3 linked regions of the Sus scrofa genome follow. The protein of the gene in region 2 purifies or fractionates together with the protein of the main gene of each other region. This does not show direct contact. Links are inferred from orthologs where the notes say so. Each region holds a gene or a part of one and is shown on either strand. Other genes may lie near its edges.

Evidence for each region.
Region 1: the proteins of FAM96B (region 2) and ERCC2 purify together in Homo sapiens (affinity purification with western blotting; 3 studies listed by BioGRID and IntAct, with this or other methods). This does not show direct contact. The link is inferred for Sus scrofa from reciprocal best matches to the Homo sapiens genes CIAO2B and ERCC2.
Region 3: the proteins of FAM96B (region 2) and CDKAL1 purify together in Homo sapiens (affinity purification with mass spectrometry; 3 studies listed by BioGRID and IntAct, with this or other methods). This does not show direct contact. The link is inferred for Sus scrofa from reciprocal best matches to the Homo sapiens genes CIAO2B and CDKAL1.

What each region holds. Positions count from the first base shown.
Region 1 is NC_010448.4:51,752,713-51,760,566, reverse strand, and holds the start of ERCC2 (TFIIH basal transcription factor complex helicase XPD subunit), read left to right. Parts: upstream 1-3,058; 5' UTR 3,059-3,205; coding exon 3,206-3,210; intron 3,211-3,326; exon of another isoform or gene 3,327-3,543; coding exon 3,544-3,643; intron 3,644-4,803; coding exon 4,804-4,881; intron 4,882-4,955; coding exon 4,956-5,018; intron 5,019-5,202; coding exon 5,203-5,316; intron 5,317-7,854. UniProt on the Homo sapiens protein: ATP-dependent 5'-3' DNA helicase. Component of the general transcription and DNA repair factor IIH (TFIIH) core complex, not absolutely essential for minimal transcription in vitro.
Region 2 is NC_010448.4:27,608,532-27,616,220, reverse strand, and holds FAM96B (mitotic spindle-associated MMXD complex subunit MIP18), read left to right. Parts: upstream 1-3,603; 5' UTR 3,604-3,661; coding exon 3,662-3,809; intron 3,810-3,968; coding exon 3,969-4,048; intron 4,049-4,307; coding exon 4,308-4,433; intron 4,434-4,849; coding exon 4,850-4,895; intron 4,896-5,534; coding exon 5,535-5,632; 3' UTR 5,633-5,752; downstream 5,753-7,689.
Region 3 is NC_010449.5:15,922,191-15,929,474, forward strand, and holds part of CDKAL1 (threonylcarbamoyladenosine tRNA methylthiotransferase), read left to right. Parts: intron 1-458; exon of another isoform or gene 459-508; 5' UTR 509-513; coding exon 514-683; intron 684-2,645; coding exon 2,646-2,758; intron 2,759-7,284. UniProt on the Homo sapiens protein: Catalyzes the methylthiolation of N6-threonylcarbamoyladenosine (t(6)A), leading to the formation of 2-methylthio-N6-threonylcarbamoyladenosine (ms(2)t(6)A) at position 37 in tRNAs that read codons beginning with adenine.

The sequences.
Region 1 (7,854 bases), about 24 Mb from region 2:
AAAATAACTCATGACAGCCTATCTATTTGTGGGACTCTTACCCTAAATAACTTGATTTCTTTAGGACAGATATTCCCTGGCGCATATCAGAGTCAACTGGGATTCTCACCACACAACAACCTTGTGGCTATTGTCAGCAAGGCCTTCCCTGACTACCCTATACATTTTTTTTGTCTTTTTAGGGCCGCACCCGCGGCATATGGAAGTTCCCAGGCTAGGGGTCAAATCAGAGCTGCAGCTCTTGGCCACAGCAACGTGAGATCTGAGCTGCGTCTGCGACTTACACCACAGCTCCTGGCAACAGCAGATCCTTAACCCACTGAGCAAGGCCAGGGATGGAACCCACGTCCTCATGGATACTAGTTGGGTTCATTACCGCTGAGCCACAAGGGGAACTTCTGGCTACCCTATTTAAATTGCAATGCATCCTGGGTAGGCTGAATAATGGTCCCCAAAGGTCTCCAGGCCCTGATCCCTGGAACCTCTTAATGTTCCCTTACATGTGTCAACCAAAAATTAACACAGAACAAAACACAGAAGGCTGCAATAAGACAATTGTGATTCTAGGAGTTCCCGTTGTGGTGTAGCAGAAATGAATCCAAGTAGTAACCATGAAGTTGCAGGTTCGATCCTTGGTCTCGCTCAGTGGGTTAAGGATCTGGCATTGCCGTGAGCCGTGGTATAGGTTGTAGACACGGCTTGGATCTCGTGTGGCTGTGGCTATGGCATAGGCTGGCGGCTGTAGCTCTTATTAGACCCCCAGCCTGGGAGCCTCCATATGCCGCTGGCTTCGGCCCTAAAAAAGCAGAAAAGAAAAAAAAAAAAGAATTATGATTCTGGAGACAGATTCAGGTAAAACTGAAGGAGGGTTCTGGGGAAGAGAAAGAGTCGGGGGCTGAGGCAAGAGCCTTCCAGACACAGAGAACTATGACTACAAGAAGGCTCTCAATCACCCCTGCCATCTGGCAGTCACGTCCTTGAGTAAAGCCTCCCCTTGACCAGGAGCTGGATGTAGAGATGTATTCTAAGAAATGTTTTACACTTGGCGCTCCCTACCCGTGGGTTCTGCTCAACCAACAGTGGATTGAAAATACAGTCATCTGGAGTTCCCATTGTGGCTTAGTGGTAACTAGTATCCATGAAGATGCAGGTTCCATCCCTGGCCTCGCTCAATGCGTTAAGGATCTGGTGTTGCCGCGAGCTGTGTTGTAGGTTGCAGATGTGGCTCAGATCTGGCATTGCTGTGGTTGTGGTGTAGGCCGGCAGCTATAGCTCTGATTGGACCTCTAGCCTGGGAACTTCCATATGCCTCAGGTGTGGCCCTAAAAAGCAAAGAAAGAAGTGGAAAAAAAAAAAAAGGAAGAAAGAAAATACAGTCATCCCTTGGAGTTCCTGCTGTGGATAGTGGGTTAGTGATCTGGCTTGTCTCTGTGGTGGTGTTAGTTTGATCCTTGTCCTGGCACAGTGGGTTAAAGATGCTGTGTTGCTACAGCTGTGGCATAGGTTGCATCTCTTGGTATAAGCGGGAGGAATGGCTCCTCCAGGGATACCAAAATCTATGAATACTGAAGCCCCTCATATAAAATCTCACAGTACAGTTTTCCAGGGCAGACTGTGAGGGACCTGAGCATATATTTACTGAACCCCTGGTCTGTGCAGGCCCCGTACTTGGTGGCAAAGGGCACAAAGCAGTGACCCAAACAGTGTCAGCCCTATACTCCTGGAGCTCACAGTCCAGTGGGGGAGACAGAACCATCCCCGGGCTGTGACAACCCAGAGCGGGCAGGGCTGGGATGGGGGTGGCATGGGTAGCGGCACCTGGCCTAGCTGTAAAGCCTTGGGCAAGTGGGGATAATGAAGGAGTTCCCTTCGTGGCTCAGCGGTTAACGAACCTGACTAGGATCCATGAGGATGTGGGTTCAGTCCCTGGCCTCTCTCATTGGGGTAAGGATCTGCCGTTTCCAAGAGCTGTGGTGTAGGTTGCAGACACAGTTCGGATCTGGTGTTGCTGCGGCTGTGGCCAGCAGATGTAACTCTGATTTGACCCCTAGTCTGGAAACTTCAATATACTGTGGGTGAGGTCCTGGGGAAAAAAAAAAAAAAAAAGTGGGGATAATGACACATACCCACACATGGCATTTATCACAGTCAAATGAGAATATACTTTCACAAGTTAGGCAGTGGTTGAAGTATTTAGTGAGACATGACCCTGAGCCTTAAGAGATGCCACACTGGAGTTCCTCTCGTGGTGCAGCAGAAACAAATCCAACTAGGGACCATGAGGTTTTGGGTTTGATCCCCGGCCTCGCTCAGTGGCTAAGGATCTGGTGTTGCCTGTGAGCTGTGGTGTAGGTCACAGACGCGGGAGGCTTGGATCTGGAGTTGCTATGGCTGTGGTGTAGGCCAGCAGCTGTAGCTCCAATTAGACCCCCTAGTCTGGGAACCTCCATGTGCCCCACGTGCGGCCCTAAAAAGCAACAACAACATAAAAAAGATGCCACGCAGGTGCTCCTTGCACTACCACGTACAGGAGAACAGACTGGGAATAACGACCATGTGAGATGTCAAATGGCTGGGTGTAAAGCATGGGATGGCTTCCATTTCGGAGGTTTGTGCTCCCCAAGCCGCATTCCAGCCCCATCTTGCTGTCCTCTGCTTCCACTTGCCTTCAGCGGTGTCCTCTGCGCCTGCAGCGAAGTCTGGGCCACCTTACCCTGCCTCACTTACTCCTCACCCGACCCCTCCCTCAGGAAGCCCTCTCTGATCCCCCAGGCAGGGTCAGGAACCCTCTCTAGGGCCCCCCATTCTAGTCCTGATTACTTTGTTCAAGTGGAGGGGGCATCTTAAAAGCTAGACTATAATAGAATGAAATCAAGTGTGTATTCACTGCTCATAATTCAGACATATGCAGGAAGCCAGAATCCCAGTAAGTAGGATCGATTCTCTCGGTTCTCTTCCTTCCATGTTTTGTTCTTGGTCCTCGGCGATCCTCAGCAATGCCTGTGGTACCGCCCCCCCGCCCCTGCCTTGCCGTGCGCACGCGCATTATCCGATTGACGGCCCCCCAGTGGAGTGACGGGAGGAATCAGCCAATGGTGTCTTGACGAAGGTGGAGCAGAGCCTCGAGGACGCCCTGCGGACCCTGCCTTTACTAGATATTCATGAGGGAGGCGGGCCGACGCTTCTGCGAGTAGCGGCCGGCGCCATGAAGTGAGAGGGGTTCGGGGGCTCGCGGCTTGCGAAGCGGGCGCGGGAGTCTGGACGATGCCAGGACCCGTGGGCGCCCCTGGGGTCCCAGCGGGGCGAGGGGAGGCTGAAGGGGTGGGGTGGGGATAGCCGTGGGGACCCACGGGGCGGTAACGGGGATAGTCAGCGATGAGATGCCAAAGGTACCCAGAGGCTCCTGGGCAACTCGGGGATATCTGGGGAGACCAGCGGGCCAGTTTCGGGCTGGTAACCCCTCTCGGCCTGACGACAGCGGAGTGTGGGTGCTGGAGAGGGGCTGAGGGGACGGGCGACTGACCCGGCAGCCCCTGCCTCCAGGCTCAACGTGGACGGGCTGCTGGTCTATTTCCCGTACGACTACATCTACCCGGAGCAGTTCTCCTACATGCTGGAGCTTAAACGCACGCTGGATGCCAAGGTGGGTGGCTGGGGCTGCCTCACGTGCGTCTAAGACTGAGATTGCAGGACGTCTAGAGTTTGGAAATCTGAGGTCCGTGGGAGGCCAGTACGGCCAAACTTCGTCTTATCTAAAATAATACGGGTTAATAACAGCAGCAGCTAACATTTATCAGAGGCTGCGTTGCTCAGCGGCTGGCTTAGGAACATAAAGAGTTTGGAACCAGCTCCTTGGGTTGGAATCCTGGACCCACAGCTGTGTGCCCTTGGGTAACTCACTTAACCTCCCTGTGAACAGTTTTCACCTCTGTAAAACGAGCCTAGTAATAATACCTACCTTAGAGGTTAATATGAAGGCTCTAGGGGTTAATTCACTACCTAAAGCAGCTGTTCTCAATTAAGGAACGTTTTGACACCCCTCTACCTTCCCCCCCATTCACCGATATCAAGAGACATTCCTGGCTGTCATACTAGTGGGGAGGGGGTGTGGCTGGCATCTAGAGGCCACAGATGCTGCTAAACATTGTAAGGTGCACAGGACAACCCCCCACAATCAAGTTGGGGTTTTTTGGAGGGGGGGCATGCCCAGGGCATGTGGAAATTCCTGGGCCAGGGATCAAACCTGAGCCACAGCAGTGACAATGCCGAATCCTTAATCACTAGACCTCCAGGGAACTCCCAGGTGTTTGTTTGTTTGTTTTTACAATTTTTTAACCCGGGCCTCAGCAGTGAAAACACTGAGTCCTAACCCCTAGACCACCCAGAGAACTCACAATCAAGTATTATCCAGCCCCCAAATGTCAATAGATTCGCTGTTGAGAAACTGATGTAGGACCCTTGGTAGTGGTGCCAGACCCAGAGTAAGTGCTGGGGAGGGGCTTGCTACATTAAAAAGGATTCACTACCTGTTGGGTACTATGCGGAATGTTTAAACCTAGTTTCTTACTCGTCCTCCTAGTTGTGCTATGAAGAAGAGACCCATTTTAGAGATGAGGATACTGAGGCCCAGCCAGGTGAAGGCATTTGCCTAAGTCCACTCAACAGAAGTGGGGTTCAAATCCACTGCCCTGGGGCCCAGACTTTTAACTGATGTGTTGACATGCTCTTCCAGGATTGGGGGGGGGCACTCCCCAGAGTTTGTGTCTCTGAAGTTCTGAGAGCCTTGTTCTTCCTCAACACCAGGGTCACGGAGTCCTGGAGATGCCCTCAGGCACCGGGAAGACCGTGTCCCTGTTGGCCCTGATCATGGCATACCAGCGGGTGAGTGACCCACTGGGCGCGTGGAGGGGGAAGAGGCTGGAGGGGGAAGAGGCTGAGCCCATTGTCGTCGGCAGGCGTATCCGCTGGAGGTGACTAAACTCATCTACTGCTCGAGGACTGTGCCCGAGATTGAGAAGGTGAGCCTGGAGCCAAGCCCACTGCTCCCCGACTCGGTCGGAGCCCTTGGGTTCCCCTGGCAGTTGCCACCAGAGCTTCAGGGGCGTTTGGAAAGCCGGGTAAGGGGTGGGGGCCTGGCTGGGCAGGGGCTGGGGCTTGTGCTTTCAATCAGGCCAAGTCCTGCTCCCTCATCAACTGGAACAGGTGATTGAAGAGCTTCGAAAGTTACTCAGCTTCTATGAGAAACAGGAGGGCGAGAAGCTGCCATTCCTGGGGCTGGCTCTGAGCTCCCGGAAGAACCTGTGTATTCACCCCGAGGTGAGTGCCTGTCCTGCCCCTTGCCCTAAGCCTTAGGGTTGAGGAAACTTTTTCTTTTTTCTTTCCTTTTTTTTTTTTTTTAGGGCCACACCCGCAGCATACGGAGATTCCCAGGCTATGGGGTCGAATCAGAGCTACAGCTGCTGGCCTACGCCACAGCTCACATCAATGCCGGACCCTTAACGCACTGAGTGAGGCCGGGGTCAAGCCTTCGTCCTCATGGATGCTAGTCAGATTCGTTTCCGTTGAGCCACAGTGGGAACTCCCTGGGTTGAGGAAACTCTTGGTCCAACCAGGAGCCCTGGATCCCCAGACTAGGCCTCTCGGGGGATGTTCTGGGGACGCAGAGTCCTCCTCTCACTCAAGTGCTGACACCGCGTTTTGGTAAGCACCCCTCTTCCCAGCTCCGGACTCCGGCAGCCCTGCTTGCCTGGCTCTGAAACGGGCTGGTCATGTACTTATTTTGTTTTTTTCGTTTTTGGCCACACTTTTGGAAGTTTCCCAGCCGGAGACTGAATCCGAGCCGCAGCTGAGGCCATGCCTGATCCTTAACCTGCTGTGCCACAGTGGGAACTCGGCTGTGTACTCTTGCATAGGTGATTTCTGCTCTCTGGATTTCAGTCTTCCATTCTGTAAAATGAGGGTAATTAACTACCTGGAGTTGCCTGGTGGCACAGCAGGTTAAGATTCAGTGTCATTACCTGTGGTGCAGGTCACAACTGTGGCTCGGGTTCGATCCCTGGCCCAGGAACTTCCACATACTATGGGCACGGCCAAAAAAATTAACTACCTGCTTCATACAGTTGTTGATAAGTTTGGGCAAGGGGTGGGGGCTGGGCAAAATGGGTGAAGGGGTCAAAAAAGTAGACTAGTTATAAAAGAAATAGGTCGTGGGGATGTAATGTACACTTGGCCCTGTTATGTGTGGATCCAAAACCTGCGGATAGGGGAGCTCCTATCATGGTGCGGTGGAAACGAATCTGACTAGGAACCATGAGGTTGCTGGTTCGATCCCTGGCCTCTCTCAGCGGGTTAAAGATCCGGCGTTGCTGTGAGCTGTGGTGTAGGTCGCAGACACAGCTCGGATCTGATGTTGCTGTGACATAGGTCGTGGCTACTGTGCCATTTAATATAAGGGACTTGAGCATCTGCGGGTTTGGTATCCGTGGGGCGGACTTGGAACTAGTCCCCCCCCCAAGCCCCCCGCAGATACTGAGGGCAGCTGTACAGCATGGTGACCATAGCTCATAATACTCTATCATATATTTGAAAGTTTTAAGAGAATAAATCTTAAAAGTTCTCATTATAAGGAAAAAAAATTGTGAAGGGAGTTCCCTTTGTGGCTCAGTGGTTAATGAACCCGACTAGGATCCATGAGGATGTGGGTTCGATCCCTGGCCTGGCTCAGTGGGCTAAGGATCTGGTGTTGCTGTGAGCGGTGGTGTAGGTTGCAGATGTGGCTCAGATCTGGCGTGGCTGTGGCTCTGATTAGACCCCTATCCTGGGAACTTCCATGTGCCTCAAATTGGCCTTAAAAAGAAAAAAAATTGTGAAATTCTCCTGTGGCCCAGCAGGTTAAGGATCTGGGGTTGTTACTGCAGCGGCTCAGGTCAGTGCTGTAGTGAGGGTTTGAGATCCCTGGCCTGGGAACTTCCATATGCTATGAGCACGGTGGGAAAGAAAAAAAATTGTAAATGTGTGTGGTGATAAATTTAAGAAAAAAAAATTTTTTTTTTTTTTTTTTTTTTTTTGGTCTTTTTGCCAATTCTCCGGCCGCTCCCACGGCATATGGAGGTTTTCTCTGGATAGATGCCCAGGAGTGGAATTTCTGGATCATATGGTAATTTTGTTTTCAGTTTTTTGAGGAATCTCCATACTGTTTTCCATAGTGGTTGTACCAATTTACATTTCCACCAACAGTGTAAGAGGGTTCCCTTTTCTCCACACCCTCTCCAGCATTTATTGTTTGTAGACTTTGGGTTTTTTTTTTTTGCCTTTTAAGGGCCACACCTGCAGCATATGGAAGTTCCCAGTTAGGGGTCGAATCAGAGCTATAGCTGCCGGCCTACACCACGGCCCCAGGCACTTGGGATCTGAGCTGCGTCTGTGACCTACATCACAGCTCAGAGCAACGCCAGATCCCCGACCCAGTGATCAAGGCCAGGGATCAAACCCAAATCCTGGATTTGTTTCCTCTGTGCCACAACAGGCATTCCCTGTTTGTAGATTTTGATGATGGCCATTCTGGCCCCGTGTAAGGTAGTACCTCATAGTGGTTTTGATTTGCATTTCTCTAATAAATGTTGAACATCTTTTCATGTGTTTTTCTGCTGTCTGTATGTCTTCTTTGGAGAATTGTCTGTTTAGATCTTCTGCCCATTTTTTGATGGGGTTGTTTGTTTTTTTGGTATTGAGCTGCAGAAGGTGTTTATAAATTTTGGAGATTAATCCCTTGTTAGTCAATTCATTTCCAGATGTTTTCTCCCATTCTGTGGGTTGTTTTTCCTTTTCTTTTTTGTCTTTTTAGGGCTGTACCCA
Region 2 (7,689 bases):
GAAGAAGAAAAGTAAAGAAAGAGAAACAGCCTCAGTGAACTCTGCTACCCTACACCTATCAGATTGACATGGATCAACATGCTTGATGCCACGTGGTGTGGTTGAGACCAGATTCGACAGCTACTCACAGGCTCCAGAGGGCAACTGAGCAATGTCTTTCCAAGTCAAAAGGCCCCCCTTCTCCCCAGTAACCTACTGTCTATATAGTACGTTCTCCTGTGTAACATGCTATTGACACAGTTCCTTGTGGGACGTGACGCCTGCGCCTGTAATTCACTGCTGCCACTGACTTCTGAGGCTTGATGTTTATTACAGCAAAGAACAAAACCTGCTGAAATGTCCCTGATCAGAGGCTGGTTACATCATGGATGCTTCCTCTTTGAAGAGAAGCTCTTTGGTTAAACAGGAAAAAGAAGGTCTACCATGTGGGGGTGTGGAGAGGTCACCCCCTGTGTCAGGAAGTGGAAAAGTCAGGCATCGGAAAGGGAAAGAACTTGCGACGATTTAGGTTAAAACCAGGATGCCACACACACGTCCATTCTTGGGGAACTCCTGGGCAGGATGTGGAAAGCCCCGGAGACCTTGATTAGCTCTGTTGGATAAGCCAGGACTGGGTGGGACAGGAGAGGGTAAGATCCATCACCTGTGCTTATCAATTTTTTTCTTTTTTTGATTTTTTAGAGCCAAACCCGTGTCATATGGAAGTTCCCAGGCTAGGGGTCGAATTGGAGCTGCAGCTGCCAGCCTACACCACAGCCACAGCAATGCAGGATCCAAGCTGTGTCTGCGACCTACACCACAGCTCACGGCAATGCCGGATCCCTGACCCAATGAGTGCGGCCAGGGATCGAACCCACATCCTCATGGACACTAGTAGGATTTGTTTCTACTGTGCCACAACAGGAACTCCAATTTTTTCTTTTCTTTTTTTTCTGAAAGTGGGTCCTATACAATGTAGCAACATTTTAGTTTTAATTAATTAATTAATTATTTGGCTTCACCCCAGCATGTGAAAGTCCGGGGGCCAGAGATTGAACCTGTGCCATAACAGTGACCTGAGCCACAGCAGGGACAATGCCAGATCCTCAACCCGCTGAGCTATGAGGGAACTTCCTATAGCAACATTTTTTTTTTCTGGCCCCACCTGTGGCATGTGGAAGCTCCTGGGCCGGGGACTGAACCCATACCACAGCAGCAACCCAAACTGCTGCAGTGATAACACCAGATCCCTAACCTGCTGTGCCACAAGAGAACTCCAGCAACGTTTTTTGTTTTTTCTTTCTAGGGCCACACCTGCAGCATATGGAAGTTCCCAGGCTAGGGGTGGAGTCAGCCAATGCCACAGCCACAGCAAAACCAGATCGGAGCCATGTCTGCGACCTACACCACAGCTCACCACAATGCCGGATCCTTAACCTACTTGCGAGGCCAGGAATCAAACCCGAATCCTCATGGATATTAGTCGGATTCATAACCCGCTGAGCCACAACAGGAACTCCTCCAGCAACATTTTTAAGAGGGTGTCAGCTAGGCCTAGCATTTTGTGATGCTGGAAGGTTCCAGTGACCTTCTAGAGCCTGGTCAGCAACCAGGAAGGGCAGAGAAGACCCAAGGGGGAGAGAACTGTGGACATTTTACTAGCAGATTCAAACTGGAAAGGGAGAGGAGAGTCAGATCAGGCAGAGCTTGTTTGGATTCGGGGATCGCACCCTTCAAGAGGAGACCCAGGAGCTACAGACACACCCAGGCACTGTGCCCACAAAGTCTAAGCTGATAAGGGATACCACAAAGGCCTGCTAAGGATGGCACAAAGAGCCAGCACCTTTGCCCTGGAGACCAAGACGTGCCTTCCCCAGGGAGGGTTGCACGGGGGTGGAAAGGATGGCGTTGTTCTCTCCCATAGGCTTTAGGACATAGCAGCTGGGAGTGGGGGCTTCGGTACCCTGAGTCAGTAACCTTGCCTGGGGCTCCTCTGGAGAGAGGTTCAGTGGGTGTCAGGACAACCCTCTGGCCTAACAGGGAACATTCAGAGCCAAATGATGGCCAGAGGTATTATTACTGTTATTACCCCCCCCCCCGGGGCAGTGCCAGCCCCACCACAAACCCTAGGGGGATAATGTCTCAAATTCTTCCCCAGCCCACCTAGGCAGGTACTGCTCTGAGCCCCTAGGGACCACTCATCGGTTGGTGTAGTGTGATCTGGGGCAGCCCTGACTCTCCCTCTGCCTCAGGGGCACATCTTAGGGTCACGATGTGTTGGGTCCGCACAGGGTGCTGTAGCTCCCTATTGGCTCCCACTTCCCTGACATCTGTCCTCCCGCAGCCTCAGGTCCTGTCTCTGCAGAATTTGGCGAGTCTTACCTGGGTTCCTGTCACCCTGCTTGGGAGCCTCATCCTATAGCTGGGGATTAAGAGAAGCAGAAGTCTGAGGAGGCGCTCAGTGGCACTCGAAGTCCATCCAGCTGCATGGTGAGCTTACAGGTCTTTTTCTTTTTTGCCCTACCATTGGGCACTCTGCTTTTCACCAAGTGGCTGCACAGGAACCCATCCAGCAGTCATTCAGGTCTAGAGATTGGACTGGGCAGGGAGTGGTGAGTTTGGCAGGAGAGACGGACTGAACAGGCCAAGGCCAGTGGCAGGCAGGGGCTAGCACATTAGCTTCCCCTCTCCCCAGGTTCTTCTGGGCTTCTACACAATACCAAGAACCCTCACCTCATACCTGAGTTCACTGTCCTTACAGCCATGGGCCCGACAAGTGTGTCCAGGGGGTCGAGAGAGAGAGCAGACGGAACTGTGATTAGGGAAACCAGGAGAGCTTCCTTGAAGAGGTGCCCTGGTCAGGATTCCCACAGACAGAGAAATGGGAATGACCTTCGTTCAGAGCGAAGGGAACCAACTAAGTAAAGGCAGGGAAGAGTGGCTGCCCTTCTCTCCAAAAACTCCTTGCTTTCTGGGATCGATTTCCTGGCTCTGCCTTCATCCCCTTATTGTCCCAGTTCTGGGGGTCTCTGAGGACCCCCTCCCTGATCGGCAATGGCCTGCCTTTTGAATGCACACCTGCCTGTGGCACTCCTCTTAAGAACACCCTCAACCCCACCTCAGGTCTTTCCTTTTACCCACCTCCCGCCAAAATCGAGTTCAGGCATTAATCACTGGACAAATATTTAAAGAACACCAGCTGGCCCGCGCGCTGGGGACCAGGAGGGCACTCCCGGGCCCAAGGAGCAGTGGGGGCTGCAGGTGCGCCACCGGGAGCTTCCAAAACACAGTGAACCCTGCACGGACAGAGGCAATTCTGGGGAAGGGAGCGGTCGCCTAGTCTAAGGGGCGGGCTTCTCAGAGGAAGCGATGTCTGAAGAAACTTCTCGGTCAATCCCAGACGAACCCTAAGTGCCTCAGTCTCGGACTCCACGGTCTAGCACGCTACCCGCCCGCACGCGGGGCCGGGTCTGCGAGCCTTTGCTGGAGCGCTGCGCATTTCCCCGGGTCTGCGTGGAGAGCGCGCCTACAACACCGCTCCACTCTATCCCCAGGCGGAGTACCGGCAGCGCTGCGTGTCCCTCGCGTTACCCCGTCGCCACGCCACGCCCCCTTCCCGTTCCCCGGAAGTGCATTCGTAGAAGCGGAAGTGCATGTCTACAGTTGCGGCCGAGGTTCCGCGATGGTGGGCGGCGGCGGAGGTGGCGTTGGGGGCGGCCTTCTGGAGAACGCGAACCCCCTCATTTACGAGCGCTCTGGGGAGCGGCCAGTGACCGCGGGCGAGGAAGACGAGCAAGTTCCAGACAGCATCGATGCGCGCGAGATCTTCGATATCCGCCGCTGCCGGGCGCGGGCGGGTTCACGGGTCCTGGGATGGGGTGGGATGTGGTGATGTCCAATAGTTGGTGGAGCTGTATCAGGGCCGAGCATTCCCGGCGGAGGGTTCTGAGTGGGCAGAAGCGCAGAGTCCCTTTTCCTTCACTTAGCACATCTGATTCGCTCCATCAATGACCCGGAGCATCCACTGACGCTGGAAGAATTGAACGTAGTAGAGCAAGTCCGGGTTCAGGTGAGTCACCTCCAGCATCCCGGGGGAGTGACTTGTTCCAGGGAGTCAGAAAGGCTCAACTTTGCTCCGGGGGGTGGGTGTTGTCTCAGCTCACAGAATCCTCAAGGGTCTTTGGAAGGGGGTGGGGTGTGTGCCTATTCTGTAGATGAGGAAACTGCATCCTACAGTGTTTAAGACAACTTGCCTGAAGCAGTAAACTAAGAAGAGGGGCTCTGGGCTAAGGGGGCCATGTCTCCCAACACTCCACCTCCTCAACCAGGTAAGCGACCCTGAGAGCACAGTGGCTGTGGCTTTCACACCCACCATTCCGCATTGCAGTATGGCCACCCTTATTGGCCTGTCCATCAAAGTCAAGCTTCTGCGATCCCTTCCTCAGCGTTTTAAGGTAAGTTGGAACTGAGCCCTAGGCGTGGGGCAGGCATGAGTGTCTGCTACTGAGGAGGGCGTGGAGAGCATGAACATGGATAACACAGTGAGACCTGAAGGGATCCCAGCTCGCAGAGATGAAACCGGGAGGAGGCTTTCCAATTGGATGGGACAGGATTTAGAGGCCCAAGCTGGAAAGTGCAGAAAAGTAGTGAGGAATGTGGCCTTAGGGGGCTGTGGATAGGTTTGGAGCAAGGATGGGGTCCAGGCAGGCTTTTGAGTCAGTAGCAGTTGGCCAGTCTTTTGGGTAGAGTTGCAGTGGCCATGAGTGGGTTTGGGTGTAATGGAAGGACCAGAGTCCAGAGGCATGAATGTGGAGACGGAAAGGGGTGGATGGGTGTGTGAGTGCCCAGACCCCACTTCTCTTCCTCCCAGATGGACGTGCACATTACGCCAGGGACCCATGCCTCTGAGCATGCAGGTAAGCATGGGCTGATGTCAAGGCATTGGCCTGGAGGCTTCCCCTTGCCGTTGTGGTTTGTAGGGCAAGATGGAGGGTAGGGCATGTGGCACGAGGTGGGTGCCCCCTCAGGGAGCTGGCCCGACTTGAGTCTCCAGTGTTTATTGTGTTCTCCCACTCCTACCCTCTCCCTGTCCTGAGTACACAGGACAAGGGTGTGTCTGGCTTTATAGTGTAGGAGGCAGACTTGGGTGGCGGGGTGGGAGAGGTCACAGAAAGGTGCAATAGGTGTGGGCTCAGGTGCTTGGGGTAGCCTGATCAAGCTTGGAGTCTTGGGAAGGAGAGGAGAGGAGGACTTTTTTCTTTTCTTTTGCTTTTTAAGGCTGCAGGTGTGGCATATGGAAGGGGTCACATCGGAGCTGCAGCTGCTGACCTACACCACAGCCACGGCAATGTGGGACCTGAGCTGTGTTTGAGACCTACACCACAGCTCATGGCAATGCCAGATCCTTAACCCACTGAGTGAGGCTAGAGATCGAACCCACGTCCTCATGGATACTAGTTGGCTTTGTTACCGTTGAGCCTCAGTGGGAACTCCCAGAGAGAATGACTTCGTTGGTGGGGGTATAAATATTTTTCACCTCTCTCCTTTCCACCCAGTGAACAAGCAGCTCGCAGATAAAGAGCGGGTGGCAGCTGCCCTAGAGAACACCCACCTGCTGGAGGTTGTGAACCAGTGTCTGTCAGCTCGCTCCTGAACCTGGATTTTTGCTCCCAGTCCCATTCAGGACTCATGGCCTTGTTTTCTTGAAATCACTGACAGTAAGAAACTAACATTTTGCATTTTGTAATAAACCCTTATTTATATTCCTCTTCCAGCATGCCTGAGAGTCTTTCATCTCAGTGGGATTAACGCTGGGTTTGGGGGTGGGGGTGGTAGTGCCTGTAGAGACTGGGTCAGTGAGGTTCAGATCATTTAAAAAACTGTCTCTTCAGAGGAAAGAAAATGTTCTGCTGATGGTTTGATCAGGAAAAGTATGCCAAAAAAATTGAAAAATTAATGTAGTGAACACTCCTATATAAGCACCACCTAAATTTGATAGTTGTTAACATGTTGCAACATTGGCTTTATTTGTGTGTGTGTAGAATATAAATATACTTGAGAGTAAGCTGCAGACACATGACCTTTCACTTCTAAGTTCTTCCTAAGAATAAGCTTGTAATCACAGTGGTTGTTTGGTCCCCAAATGAACAGTTCCCTGATGCTCATATCTAACGTCCAGTCAAATGTGAATTTCCCCAAAGTGTCATTCATAGTTGGTTTATTAATCAGGCTTTAGTCAAGTTTCATGTATTGCATTTGGTTGTCTTACTCTCTTTAGCCTCTTCTAGACCTGTCTCCCCACCCCCACCATGTAATCTTTCTTGACACTGATCTCTTTTGGGTTTTTTTTTTTTTTTTCCTCGGTCTTTTTGTCTTTTTAGGACCACACCCGTGGCATATGGAAGTTCCTGGGCTAGGGGTCCAGTTGGAGCTATAGCCATCGGCCTACACCACAGCCATAGCGACGCTGGATCCAAGCCATGTCTGTGACTTGCACTACAGCTCAATGCAACGCTGCATCCTTAACCCACTGAGCGAGGCCAGGGATCAAACCCGAGTCCTCATGGATGCTAGTTGGGTTCGTTAACCTCTGAACCACGACGGGAGCTCCGACACTGACCATTTTGAAAAGCCCAGGTGGGTCGTCCTGGAGAATCCCATGGTCTGATGGGTTCCTTAGTCTGCTGGGTTTCCTGTAAACTCGAAGTTGAGTTCAGGTTTGAGTTTATTAATGAGGACATTTGCCAGGAGTTGGATCCTTAACTTCCAGCAGGAGCTGTGTGATGTCAGCTTGTCCCCACTGTTAATAATGCTCACCCTGGTCCCTGGTCAGGGCAGTGACAGCAGATTTCTCTGTTGAAAGTCACCTGAAGCACTCTCTCCACTGGCAGCCTCTGCCTCCTCCAGCACAGTTGGCCACCAGGACACCATGGGGCTTAGACCTTGGAACAGCCAGTTAGGAGTCATAATGTCATGATTTCCTATTCTTTGAGGATAAATGGGATATTAAGAAGTCTTACCCTGTCTACCTGGTGGGCAGAGGCCTCAACAGGGAGCCTGGGCACTTGGCAGATCGGTTCTTGAGGGCTAGCTGACAACATGGAGCTGATCCTAAGGGTGGGCATTGACACATATACTACCTAGTCGTTCAGTCCTTGAGCCATCCCTGTGTGGCAGTTGATATTCTTTATTTTCTCTATTTCGCCGGTGAGGAAAGAGGCTTCCAGATTAGGTAATTTACTCCCTAAAACCTCCAGTTAGGGAGTAGAGGAACCTGAGTAGTTCAGTAGGTGATACTCGGTTGGCAGGGGGCGCTGTTGTCTGGCTGAATGAGCCTGTGCCCACCTCCAGCCCCCAGTTCCTGGCAGAGGTGGCTCTGCCACCTAGTGACCAAGATCTGGCTGCTCAGAAAGATGAAGCCACTGGCCTGTGTCACCCATTTGTGAGGGGAGTTAACAATAGCTAAGTACTGCTCTGCGAAGATTTAAAATGAATCTGGACCGGGAGTTCCCACTGAGGCTCAGCAGTAACGAACCCAGCTAGTATCCATGAGGACTCGGGTTTGATCCCTGGCCTTGTTCAGTGGGTTAAGGATCCCAAGTTGCCATGGGCTGTGGTGTAGGTCACAGATGAGGCTTGGATCCCTCATTGCTGTGGCTGTGGTGTAGGTCAGCAGCTACAGCTCCAATTTGACCCCTAGCCTGTGAACTT
Region 3 (7,284 bases), on a different chromosome or scaffold from region 2:
TTTTGTATCTATTTTGTAGATAGTAGTATGTATATGTTAATCCCATCCTTCAAAAAAAATAAGATTTTTAAGGCCAATACTTAAATGGTTTATAGTGATACCCTAATATTATCTAATACCCAGTTCATATTCTGATTTCTGTGGTTGTTCCAAAGATGTCTTACAGATGATTGGACAAAGTAAGACCTAATCAAGAACATAAAGTGTGTTTAGCTGTTATCTCTTAAGTCTCCTTTAATCTTGAATGGTTCCTTTCCTGCTCTTTTCTCCATGACATCGATTTGTTGAAGAAATAGTTCCAGTTGAACCTTGGAATGTCCCACTATCAGTGAGATTTATCTGATATCTCCTGTATTTCTGTATCTCCCATATTTTCTGTAAACTTGAAGTTAAATCTAAAGACTTTATTAGATTCAGGTTTGGCAAGAATATTTCATAGGCAATGTTATGTTAAACAGATTTTCTGAGGGACTCCTCTGCTTGTGTCATTTATAACTTTCCGTGATAGAGAAGATGCCTTCTGCATCCTGTGATACACTACTGGATGACATAGAAGATATTGTGTCCCAAGAAGATTCAAAGCCACAGGACAGGCATTTTGCAAGAAAGCAAGTCGTTCCAAAGGTGCGAAGGCGAAATACCCAAAAATACTTGCAAGACGAAAACAGTCCACCAAGTGATAGGTAAACTTTTTTATTTTTTTTGAAACTAAATTCAGTCTCATACCAGGGGAGAGGCTGGCACTACTGTATATGATAGACGTAATGTCTCTTTTAACAAATCTTTGAACTGGTGAGAAGAAAAATGTAGATTTATTTATTTTTTTAATTCAGATGGTTTTATATTTAGTGAAGTCATTGTTTGAAAAAGACCTCAAACTGCAAGTCCATTAAAGGCAGGGCTAAGCCAGTATCTGGCAGAGCAAGGATCACCCTTCTTCCCCTGGGCAGGGTCTCTTTGATATTACTGTAGTTGGTGTGTAATTGGTGCTTCTAAATTAAAAATTTTTATTGGCACTTGTGATTCTTATGCGAGAGTGGCAGTTTGAGCATTTGATTTTTCTTAGCATATTTACAGTTACTTAGAGATCATCTAAAGGCATTGGACACAAATTATTATGTTTTTACACTGTCTTATTAGGTCTCTAGTTTAGTGCAATTCTAATGTAACCTAGCCAGAAAAGATTATGCAGTTATATTGTTTTAGTATGCTTAAACTGTTTATCTAGTAAATTGTTGAAAGTTTTAATATATTTGATTATTTTGTTTGGAACAGTAAGCTTTAAAAATCTATGAATATAAAATTTGCTTATGATGACTGAAATCTGTTAAATTTGTCCTGAACATGTCCTTAAGCTAATGCCTATTGAATTATTAATTATTAGAGCCATCCAAGTTGTGAAAGTCCTTTTTCCTTCCTAAAAATATTGCATTTTTTAGAACTTTATATATGGAGTACTTTCATTTATTTGTTTTTTATTTATTTTAAGACATTTATTTATTTATTTTTGTCTTTTGCTATTTCTTTGGGCCGCTCCCGCGGCATATGGAGGTTCCCAGGCTAGGGGTCCAGTTGGAGCTGTAGCCACCGGCCTACGCCAGAGCCACAGCAACTCGGGATCCGAGCCGCGTCTGCAACCTACACCACAGCTCACGGCAACGCCAGATCGTTAACCCACTGAGCAAGGCCAGGGACCGAACCTGCAACCTCATGGTTCCTAGTCGGATTCGTTAACCACTGCGCCATGATGGGAACTCCTATTTATTTATTTATTCTTTTGGCTGTGCCTGTGGCATGTGGAAGTTCCTGGGCCAGAGAATCAAACCTGTGCCAGAGCAGCACCTTGAGCTGCTGCAGTGACAATGCCAGATCTTTAACCCTCTGTACCACAAGGGAGCCCCTATGGAGTACTTTTAATAATGCCATAAGGTGACAGATTTTTTTTTTTTTTTTTTTTTTTTTTTTGCTTTTTAGGGCCACATCTGTGGTATACGGAGGTTCCCAGGCTAGGGGTCAAATTGGAGCTGCAGCTGCTGGCCTATACCATAGCCACAGCAACACAGGATCTGAGCCGCATCTGTGACCTATACCATAGCTCACGGCAATGCCAGATCCTTAACCCCCTGAGCAAGGCCAGGAATTGAACCTGCAACCTCATGGTTCCTAGTCGGATTCATTTCTGCTGCGCCCCGACAGGAACTCCCAGATTTTCATTTTGATTGCTGTTTAATCTATAACTTATAAAGATTGTAACTAGTATGTAGTAGTCTGAGCATATAGATGCTTAATTTTTCCTTATTTGCCATTTAAGTTAGTACCATTGACTGTGCTATTGTGATTTGTACCTTTCCGAGAGTTGAATTTAGTGTTCGTATTTAGTAGTATTGAACTTAAAATACAATTCAATGAAATAGAAGATATTTTTTATATATAGAGTCTTAACTTACAGTTCTGTGCTTATTTTATACTGATTTTTAGACTTTTGGTGTAACAACAGATTACAAATTTAGTTGATGTTTTAATGAATAGCTTGTGAATGTATAGCAGTGTTTGTTTTTGCATAGTATGCCCAGAAATTATCTAGTATTTTTTACTTAAAAAAATCCCTTAATGAGACTTTTTTTTTTTTTGATCAATTAAAACAGCACTATTCCAGGCATTCAGAAAATTTGGATACGAACATGGGGTTGTTCTCATAATAATTCAGATGGAGAGTACATGGCTGGACAACTAGCTGCTTATGGATATAAAATTACAGGTAATGACATCTGTAATGTGTTTTATTGATTACGTTTTTCAGTGCTAAGTTTTTTAGAGGTATACTGGCTTCAGCAAAGGATATTTTAGTATAACTTAATGATTTTAAGGCAGAAAAATAGTGATAGCTAATACATATTATAGGTAACTGCCATTTACCCTCGAATAATATGGGTTTGAACTGTGTGGATCCATTTATCCATGGATTTTCTTCAGTACATATACTGGTATGTTTGCAGTGTATGTTTGGTTGTATCCTTTGATGTGGAACCCTCTGATACAGAGGACTGACTGTGGGAATTGAACATATGTGGATTTTGGTACCCACCTGAGGTCTGGAACTAGTCCCTGCAGATCTAAGAGATGACTGTGTATATATCATATTTTTAAAAAGCTTAAAGCTTGATTCTGAAGTAAGATTGGACTTAGAGAAAAGTAGTAAAATTGCAGAGTTCATATGTACCTTTCACCTAGCTTCTCCTAATCCTAACATCTTATATAATTATAATTAAGAAACTGTGAAATTAGCATTAGTGTAATACTCTTATATAAACTCGGACCTTGTTTGATTTTACCAGGTTTCCCATTTATGTCCTTTTTCTGTTCCAGGATCCAATCTAGGATCTCACTTTATATTTATTCATAATGTCTCTTCAGCCTCCTCCAGCCTGTGATAGTTCCTCATTTTTTTCTTGTCTTTTATGACCTTGACTCTTCTGAAGAAAATTGATTATTTTGTAGATAGTTTCTCATGGTTAGAATAAGGTATGCATTTTTTGGCAAGAGTACAAAAGTGATATTATATCCTACTAGTATATGGTATGGGAGAGATTTTATGATGTTAGTACACTGATCTTTGTCTTCTAGATATCTCCACAGTAAAGTTATTATTTTTCTTACTGTAACTAATATTTTGTGTCTCCTCAACCTTTTGCCTACTAATGCTAGTATTTGATAATTTTAGCATCCGTTAGTGGATCTTGCCTGCGACAGTTATTGCTGTTATTTGCTTAATGGTGATTTTCTCTTTTCTTCCGTGTTTAGTAATTGGAATTTTTCTTTGAGGAAGAGCTGTCCTTTCTGCCCTATTTTACTTGTTTATATCAGCATGGACTCATGGATATTTATTTTATTCTGTAGGTTATAGTTCAATGCTGTTATTTATTTCGTTGCCTGTATTGTTCCAGCTTTAGCATAGGACCCTGTTCAGGCTTGTTCCTATGCCTTTTAAACGTGTCCCCATACCTTTTTAAATGGTTCTTTATTTTCTGGCACCACAAGATATTCTGGTCTTGTATTTTCCTTTCTCCAGCTTCAGAAGCAACCACGTTCCCAAGGAACTCTGCTCCCTTTCATTAGGAGAATGGTGTTGAAAACCAGGCCAGAGATCTGGGCACGAGGTGTGCTTATTACCACCATGAAGTGTCAGAGCTTCTAGGTTGTCTTAGTGGACAACGTTAGGAAATGCATTTATGTACTATCTGGCACATACACACGTCTCTGTTTCTGTTGTTTGTATATTAAATTGGAATATAACATGAAGGCTTTGTAGCAGGCAGTGGCCTAGTGCTTTGTGTGTTGTCTTTGTGATATAAGGACATATTAGCATCCCTCCTTCATAGGTGAGAATGGAGAGGTCGTATCTTACCTTAAATCACATAGGCAGTGGAGTTTGCTGCTCCAAGACACTGCTCCTGACCATCAGTCTGTATTGCATAGCAGGTTGCCTTAGCGCATTCAGTTGGTCAGTCATAGCTTCAGGTGGATGTGAGGACTAGAGAGGATTCCTTTCATAACAGTGTTTCCTTTAGTAACTAAATGGTCATATGTCATTAACTCTGCTTTCGATAACTCATTCTTTAGACAGCAACGTCACTCTTAAGACAGGTGAAAACACTCAAAGTCTGTTTCTAGAATTGCTTCTCTGTATTCGTTGGTAATTTTGAGTATAATTTAGCCTGGACTCGCCTTAATACGTTCTGATGGTGCAGTTTGAAATTAAGAAAATAGGCTTGAAGATAATTTCTTAAAACATTACAAATCAGATCCTGACTTTTCTTAGATGAAATTAAACATCCAACATGTTTTAACTTGAGTTTTAGTCCATTAGCAGTTTTATGGTCTTAGAATAGTACTTTCTATGTAAAATAACAGTCCTGATGTGTTTACATAAGAATATTAAGCTTTGTCATGCACACCTAATTTTGATTTCTTATTTGGGAATAGTAAAAAGGGAAAATTAAGAAAGCAATCACTTGAATGTGAAATTGATTTTTCTTATTAATGTAGTATATTGCTTTTATATACTTGCATTTACTTAGATGATTTGTATCAATTTTTTTTTTTTTTTTAATTTTCTTTAGGGCCGCATGGGCAGCATATGGAAGTTCCCAGGCTAGATGTGAAATCAGAGTTACAGCTGCTGACCTCTGCCACAGCTGTAGCAACGCAGGATCTGAGCTATGTCTGCAGACTACACTGCAGCTCATGGCAACGCTGGATCTTTAACCACCAAGAGAGGCCAGGGATCAAACCTGCATCCTCAAGGATACTAGTCGGGTTTATTTCCAAGAGCCACAGCGGGGACTCCTATAGTGGTTTTTTTTTTTTTTTTAATATGATTTAGAAACATATATTTCATGACTGTGTTCTTCTAGTAAATAATTTTGGTAGACTAAACTCCCCTAATTCTCTCCCCCCCATTAATGCTGTCTTTAGTTATTGTTTTGGGGTAATTTCTTTTGAAGATGTAAGTAAATTATTTTAATTGTCCTCATTGGTGGCAGATCTTCATATCTTGAGAGTATATTTAGTGTTAAAATGTTCACAGGTCATTCAAGACCAAAACTGATGAACAAAGTAGGTGACATGATATTGAACAATACAGTTTTAGTGAAAAACAAGGCATTTTAGTTTATCTTGACTGATTTCTGAAAATTATTCTATAAGAGTTCCAAGAAATGTGTATGGCAGTGATTCTTACACTTTCTGGGTCTCTTCAGAACCTCACAACTCTTGGAGTTCCTGTTGTGGCACAGTGGAAATGAATCCGACTGGGAAGTATGAGGTGGTGGGTTTGATCCCTGGCCTCACTCAATGGTTTAAGAATCTGGCATTGCTGTGGCTGTGGTGTAGGCCCGCAGCTACAGCTCCAATTTGACCCCTAGCCTGGGAACTTCCAAGTGCCATGGGTGTGGCCCTAAAAAAAAAAAAAAAAAAAAAAGAACCTCTTAACTCATATAATTTCAGCAAAGAACTCATAACCATTGCCTAGCCCAGTGGTGGAATGAAAGTATGGCGACTGCTTTAGGGTCGGCCATCATATAGATAAAGGTATGCTAGAGATATGTTGGAGAGATAGAAAGATGTTGGAGAGAGCTGTATATACGTGTATATATATTTTTGGCCGCACTCACGGCATGTGGAAGTTCCTGGGCCAGGAACTGAACCTGTGTCACAGCAGCAACCTGAGCTACTGCAGTGAGAATGCCGAGTCCTTAACCAGCTGTGCCACAAGAGAACTCCCTGGAGAAAACTGTGTTGTTTAGTGTGGGGTCATGTCTGCTGTGAGTGTTTTTAGCATTGCCTTTGGTTAGTGGAAAAAAATCCATCACCAGGTTCTAGTTCATAAACACATGAGAGTAATGTGTGTTATATGTATGGAATATTTGTGATAAGCTTACCCGAGTCAGAATAGAGCATTTAGCTTGGGTACCCACAGTTTCAGAGAAATCATTTTAAAATTGCTGGGCTGTTACAATTCTTGATGGTTTCTTTGTGTATTTGTATAAAGTTTATTCATTCAGCACATATTCTCTGAACATGATATGTGTTAACAGGGTATAGTGCTAGGAGACATGGACAAGAGGATTCCAGCAGACAAAAGGATTATTGTTTTCTGGCAGAGGAAAAGCCTTCATATTGTGTGCTAAATCTTACAAGTTATTTTAGTCAAGCTTTTAAAATGGATTCTTTCATTTTTTTATAATTATTAAAAGAATGTCTCCAGTTTATATTTTAGAAGTGCTTGATGTTAATGTCAAGTCAGACTATAAAGTCTCAGGTTTGAGTTAAGAAAGTTAAAATCTCTTTGTGCTGTAGAAACAAACACAGTGTATTTGGTAAAGGACACAGTATTGTAATTGACTAAAGTGTAAGCATATTTTCTAGATCGGGCCATTTAGTTTGAAGTGGTTTTAAATTTTAAGGCTGAGGTCAGTGGGGTGTATTAAATTGACATATGGAAATGTTTGTGTAAGGAATACTCTTAACAACCACAGATGTGGACAGTAGAATTTTAAGGATATTAAAGCTACACTTTTGTTTTTGGACCTGGATTTTTGAAAATCATACTTCTTGCAAATAATTAAAATATGAGCACACATAAAGTTTCTTATAAAAAGAAACAAACTTTGCCTGCTTTCTTATCTGTTTTATGAACTGATGACCATGACATTTCATTAATATCTTGAGTTTACCTGCATAATAAAGGATATTAAGATGAGGAGTAGGTTAATTGTGGGAAGG